Linked DNA regions of Drosophila melanogaster. The protein of the gene in region 2 interacts with the protein of the main gene of each other region in a pairwise test. Each region holds a gene or a part of one and is shown on either strand. Other genes may lie near its edges.

The links.
Region 1: the proteins of Uros2 (region 2) and l(2)05714 interact in a two-hybrid assay, tested with the Drosophila melanogaster proteins (one large-scale study listed by BioGRID).

The regions. Positions count from the first base shown.
Region 1 is NT_033779.5:4,969,582-4,973,332, forward strand, and holds l(2)05714 (lethal (2) 05714), read right to left. Parts: upstream 1,905-3,751; 5' UTR 1,716-1,904; coding exon 1,473-1,715; intron 1,204-1,472; coding exon 631-1,203; 3' UTR 566-630; downstream 1-565. Other genes in the region: Polr1C (RNA polymerase I and III subunit C), read left to right, coding at 1-565; CG14043 (uncharacterized protein), read left to right, coding at 2,231-3,751.
Region 2 is NT_033777.3:15,786,935-15,790,037, reverse strand, and holds Uros2 (uroporphyrinogen III synthase 2), read right to left. Parts: upstream 1,518-3,103; 5' UTR 1,435-1,517; coding exon 673-1,434; 3' UTR 544-672; downstream 1-543. Other genes in the region: c(3)G (crossover suppressor on 3 of gowen), read left to right, coding at 1-90, 149-250; CG9590 (uncharacterized protein), read right to left, coding at 1,833-2,220, 2,280-3,103.

The DNA of each region.
Region 1 (3,751 bases), on a different chromosome or scaffold from region 2:
AAAAGATCAGTCCAACTTCGATGACATTTACAAAAACCACAAAGTGTACTCGGGTCATCTGAAGTGGCTGCCCAAAGGAAAGCAGGCGCAGATATACAGCGAGAGTGCTGTGAACTGCATTCACGATGACATACTGATTGCCCAATTGCGTCCGGGTCACGAGTTGGATCTGCGCCTGGTGGCGGTTAAGGGACTTGGACGGGATCACGCGAAATTCTCGCCGGTGGCCACGGCCACCTACCGACTGCTGCCCATGATTAAGCTGAACCGCGAGGTGACCGGTAAGGATGCGTACCTATTACAGAACTGTTTCTCACCAGGAGTAATTGGCATTGACGAGAATGAAACTGCCTATGTAAAGGATGCACGCTACGACACGTGCAGCCGAAATGTGTATCGCTATCCCCAGCTAAACGACGCTGTGACTTTGGCCCGTATCCGAGATCACTACATTTTCTCCGTGGAATCAGTCGGCGCACTGAAGCCCGATGTCATCTTCCTGGAGGCGGTCAAGGTATTGAAGAGAAAGTGCCGGGCGCTAATTGACGAAATTGAGGCAGAATAGTTATTTATTTAGTTGTTAAAGAAATTATATTATGTACATAAGACAGCTTGATATAAATTGTAAGCCTACGAAGATCGTGCTTGCTCTCTCTTGCGCTTGAGCACCTTCAGGCGAAATTCCGTTAGGACCACCTGCAGACGCTCCTGGCACATTAGTGCGTCCTCCAGGTCCATGTTGTTCAGCTGCAGAGCCAAACTCTTGCCAAACAAGTCAAATTCACTAATAATGGTGTCTTCCGTCATCGCGTCGACTTGGTATTCGTTATTAATCTCCGTATCTTCCGGCTTGAGCTGTATCATCTCTTCCTCGTAGACCACCTCTTGGTCCTGGAGATCTGTTTCATTCTGTTGTACTTCGAGGAACTCGTTCTCAACCTCAAATTCTTGCTCTTGATAGGGCTGATCTGTTCTGAGTAAATCATCCAGGATTGAGTCGTTCGAGGCGATTTCGTCCTCCTCCGTCTCCTCCTCCATGCTCTCCACCTTCGTGTCGTTCTTGATCTTTGGCTGCATTTTGCTCCTTGGCTTTTGCCTTGGATAGGTCTTTGATTTGGCTTTGGGCTTTGCTTTGGGTGAAATTATGGAGGCCTCCAAGTCTGGGTCATGCTCATCTTTGACAAGTTCACCCTTAATCATATTCTGTAGGTATAAATACGGAGTTGTTAATTTTATGTAAATTAGTAATGAGATGAGAATTTTTTTTTTGGAGCGATAAGTTGTGCATCGCATAGAGGGAGCTACTGGTTTGGTTAACCATTGCACAAGAAGTAGTCAATGGAATAGTTAACGAAAAGTATGGCGAAAACTCACACAAAAATCGTGTTTGAAATTTAGTTTGGATCGCAAAATATTTGAATCAATAATGGACACGGGTCATTCCTATTGCTTATGCACAAACCCAATCCCACCTTGGCAAGAATGTTGTGGTACTTGAAACTTTCCTGGTGTTTCCGCGTTGCGAGGTGCTGCTTGATGGACGCTAGTCTGGCGAGGACATTGATGTCGCAGATCTTGCAGTGCGCCGAGTAACCGTCATTACTAGACGCCAGCCAGCTGGAGAGCTCCGGATATTTCTCCCACTCTGTGCGATAGCGTTGGTGGTACAGTCGCTTCACCTTCTTGTCCTCATCCGTCTTGTAACCCTTCAGCATTGTGCCCGCTTTCGGATGAAGCTTGTCTGATTTGTGGAAAAGTATTCTTTGAAAGATGAGCGCCAAAAGCAGTCTTTAATAGCTGATGGTGGTAAATATTTTGGTATATTCCAAAAATTTGCGACGCGAAAAAAATCTGAAAGTCGATGCGGTGTGACTGTAATCGAATACGTTATAATACCAGCAATTAATTCCAGGGTTGCGACATAGAGGTTGCTGCGCAACGGTCACACTAAGCTGTTTTGTTTATATAAACATTTTATGCCTTCAAGTTTATATTAGAGGCGTTTATGGTTGTGTTATGTACTTTTTGAAAATACCTTACTTGTACATAGTTCAAATTAATTTAGTTTGAGATTTTAAATAAAATATTCTTTCATGGTTTGGGTCTCAGGTAAAGTTTAAGCAGTCACAATACGGCCACACTACACACTCATAGAGAAAAAATATAGTAAATAAAAAGGCTTTGCCGAATTCAGGATAGCTTTTGCCTGCACCGTGGGTGCTCAGCCAACATGGTCATTCCAAAGGAGATCCTAAGCGACTTCAAGGAGCTATACGAGAAGGCCAACCGTCTGGTGGAGGAGGAGAGCCGCAATGATCCGCCCACGGATCCATTCCGCTCCCATTATAAAGCGCGCGATGTGCTAATTGTCTTGAAGAAGCAGCTGGACGACCAACTGGTATCTGTGCAGGCCAGCGAGGAGGACGGTGGTCAGGACGATCGCTGCTATCACTCTCTGTTGGCCTTCGTTTGCCGGGATCTAGGCAGGATCTACATCTACACAGAGGAGCAGGCAGAGGGCGAAAAGATGCTCAATCGTTGTCTGGAACTAGTCACGCCGTTTAAGGAGTGCCCTGAGGGCATCATTCCATTCATTGGGGCAATCAACGAGCTTAGCATTGTGCTGGCCTCCAAGGAAGAGTACAATAAGGGACTGGAAATTCTCCTGGAGGCAGAAAAAATCTACGAGGACTTCAAAGCCAGTGGTCTGAAGCCCCTGGCCATTCAAGATGTGTTCAATCCTCCGGAGGAGGGACAACAATCTCACGAAGCTGGTCCCAAGGAACTGGAATCCCTGTACACGCTAGTCTCATTTTACATGGCGCAAATGTACGGGCATTTGGGTGAGCCGGAAAAGTCGGCCAAGTGCTGCCATCGCACCCTCCATCGACAGCTTGAGTCAAAAACATACGATCCCATTGATTTCGCACTGAACACCGCCACCTTGTCACAGTTCTATATTGGAGAGAAGCGCTTCGAGGAGGCCCGTCATCACCTGGCCGCTGCTACGCTCATCATGGCCGAATATGAGGTGCACATGCTGGAGCCGGAGATGAGCGAGAAGCAGCGCCAGGACGTGTCGGAGACCTTTAAACATCGCTACGCCGATGTGGCACGCTGTTGGGCCAAATATGGATTGTATTTAATGAACACATCCAAGCTTCGGCTGATGCGGGACGAAGATGACGAGGATGCCAAGAACCTGGAGATCGTTCTGCGCAATATGCGGCTGGTCGAGGCGGAACAGTCCCGGTTTCCTGGACTTGACCTCACCGCGTGTGAAAATCGTATTAGTTGTGAATACTGCCTGACCTTCGACGATGCCAAGTTGGTGTTTCATTTTGTGAACGAGTGGCTCGACATAGCCAAGGACTATTACAAGGCCGAGAACGAAGCTACTGAGTATTCAAAGATAATGCAGGATTACGCCGAAGCGTATGAGCACATTGCCTTCTTCGAGGAGAATCCAGAAAACCAGGCCAAGATGCAAAAGCGTCGCGCCAAGTATCTGGAAGATCTTTTGGATCTGCTTGACCCCATCTTTTACATGAAGATATGCCGAGAATGCTGGTATGGAGCCGGCACAGCTCATGCTGCCGTGATGGATGTCCGTCTCGACATCATTCGGGCCACTAGCACGCCAGCGCCGGAGGACATCAAGAAGGTCAATCAGAGCTGTATGAAGGCCATCAAGCACTTTGAGAGCTATGTCAAATCCTATCTGGTCAAACCGCCCAGCGAGGAATGGCGA
Region 2 (3,103 bases):
GAATTTTCAAGCACTGCCAGAAAGCGTAATGCTCGTCGTCAAAAAATTACCACATATTCCTCCGACTTTGATAGCGGCGATGATATACCAGTGAGTATTTGTTAATTGCACCTATAATCGAAATTAAATTATTGAACTTTTATTACAGATCGTGGGCAACTCTTTAAGCGGCAAACGTGCCAAATTATGTGCGCCCATCAAGCCACAAAATAATATTGATATGTTCGACATGTTGAAGAATTCTAAATAACTAAGCAGTACAACGAACATACAGACAACATTATCAATTCTTACACTTTGTTTTTAGTAAAATGGAAGAATATTGAGCTTAGAAATTCATTCAGATCCATCATCATTTAAACATCTGTACTTCTTTGAAAACTTGTCTGAAACTGGCAAGCTATTTTTAAGAACATGATTACTTTATGTTATTTAATCCCATTTTGTATCTAATTGTTAAATTAAAACTCATATCTTGAAGTATCTTGTTCAAATAGATCCAATCTATTTGATTATAGTTTTTGTAATAAAAACATTACATGTACTTTGTTGAAACACTTTAATTAATAACACACTTTTGTCCTCATTTCTTTAAAGGACACCAAACAGATTTTGAAATCATACCAAAAGTAAAAACTGGTAAAAACAAAACGTAAAATGATCGATACTAAACTATGTTTTGATGATATTTATCAGGCGGTCGACGTCAGCAGCATTCACGACTCCGTCCGCCTTAATTCCAGATTCCTCCATTGCCTTCCTGGTGCCACTGCCCACGGCTATCAGCTTGCGATCCTTAAGCGAAACGTTGTAGTTCCCAAAGAACTCCAAGGAGCTGCGGACACTGGAGGGTCCGAAGAACACAATCGTTTCCATTCGCTTGAATTTGAGGGCGTGCCGCATCTGATTGACGAAATCCGGATGCGACCGACTCTCGTACACTTCGCAGGCATCCACCCGGAATCCCTGGGCGACCAAACGGAGGCGCAGTGTCTGACCCACGCCATTGCCGCAGGGCATGAGCAGTGGCAGATCCCTCTTGGGTCCAAACGTCTCCACGATCAGATCGCACAGATTGTTTGCATTCACGGCATGATCGCCCAGAGTCGGAAGATTCTGGAATGTTATCCAGGCGGCGCTGTGCGTGTTCTTGCCTAGGGAATAATTGTGTAACGCACGCCAGCAACTAGGAAGTGGTGTCTTTCCTAGTGCCTCGTTTACAGCTTGGACACAGCGCGGGGATGCAAATATAATCCCGGCATATTTGTGCGGCTCATGCAACTTGGCTTGCAATTGCTTCAGATTCTTGAACACAAAATGCGAGGGAGTAATGAAGATGGGATCCAGGTTATGGCTGCGCAACGCCGAACCATAGAAATCATCGGAGGACGGAACCTTCAGCAGAATAACCGGCTGCTTGTTGCGATCTCCCATGATTCTAACTAAATTTTGCTGGACTTAACTAGAGAATGGACAATTTGATATTCGTGTTTTGCGTTTGATTTATAGAATAGTTCGAATAGAAAGGGCATAGAATAGATAATGCCTGAAAATTATTGCCGCGCCTATCGAGAGTCGGGTTTTAAAAATAGTTCATCACATTGAAGCCAACTATTATTAGGTGGCTCTAATCCAACCAAACACGAATGCAGGCTACCGAACTTTCAGTTGCACTTTGAAAAAACTTCTCAATAATTTCGGGAATGTTATCACAAGCATTTGCAACGCAATCATTTATAATTTTGTACATTTATATGGAAAAACAAGTGAGTTGAGAACACTAACCAGGCAATAGTAAAAGTAGAAAGTACAACAATTAATCTTAAATCCGTTTACACAGCTCCCATCTGGAGAATGGGTGTAAATAGCTTGTAGGCCTTCTCGATGAACTGCACGGCAGATAGCATTTCGGAAAAGAATGTGCTGACCCGGCCTTTTGATTCCTCCGTTTCTGACTTGCCGCTCAGAACGGCGGCGAAGCGGTGGCTAAGTCCTTGAAGGTGTCCATTGAACTGCTGGCAGAGATTGACGACGCCATCCACTTCGTTGGCGGTGCTGTGATGTGGCTTCACCAGCAACAGCTCGGCGATTTTGTGCAGCTTACACATCTCGAGGGCGCACGCTTCACTCAGCGCGTGGATGCTCTTAGCATAGGCTTGCTCCAGATCGGCGGCAGTTGCTTCCTCTGAGGTCAACCAGCTGAGGGACTGCGTCCAGTGACTGTACAAAAGATTTGGGTTTATGGTATGTTTAAATAATATTAGTTTCCGACAACTTACTTGGCTATGTCGTCAAACTGAATGCCCAGCTCGGCGTCCTTGATTGTGGCCGCCAATCGCTCGCTCAGTTCCTCCGCCTCGTAGTCACCTTCACTCTCCACATCCAGATCCTCCAGTTCGATCAGTTCCTTCACCTCGTTTATCGTTTCCTGCAACTCTGCACGGGCATTGCCACTAACCGCATCGAGTAGGGTGTCCAGTTTGAGGCGTGACTCCTTGGAAAGGATCTCCAGGGCCTCGAAGTGCACCAGGCCGCAGTAATTTTCGAAAAGGATTTCGAAACGCAGCTGCGCCTTCTGTCTTTTCAGCTGTAGCTGTTGCAGGGATTGCTCCATTTGGTCGGCCTCCTTCTTTGCCTCCAGCAACACGGCACTCAAATTAGGCGAGTTGGCCTCCAGACCGAGCAGTTTCCTCTTGTTCATCAGCTTGGGATCGTTGTCCTGCAGGATGGTCATGGTCTTCTTGCCAATGCCCTCGAGTGTATCCAGTCCGGTGTTGAGAACCTTGGAGCCCAGATTGGTGACAAAGTCCAAGCCAAAGGCGGCCGAAGATTCTTTTTCATCGTCGACATTTTCCTCTGGCGGCGCTTTAGCAGCCTTTTCCGCCTTTTCAGCCACATTAATGCGAGCCAGCTCCTCGGGATCGGGCACTCCGATGATTTGATTAAGCCCCTGGTTGACTTGGGTGGTTATCGTGCCCAATCCCTCCGTGGCGGTGGTTAGCACGGAGCTCAGTTTACCGCCCCACAGACCCCAGGACGAGGATGTGGCGGATGCTGTTGCTGGAGCAGAAATTCTGGGAGTTTCCAGCTTTTCCTGATTTTC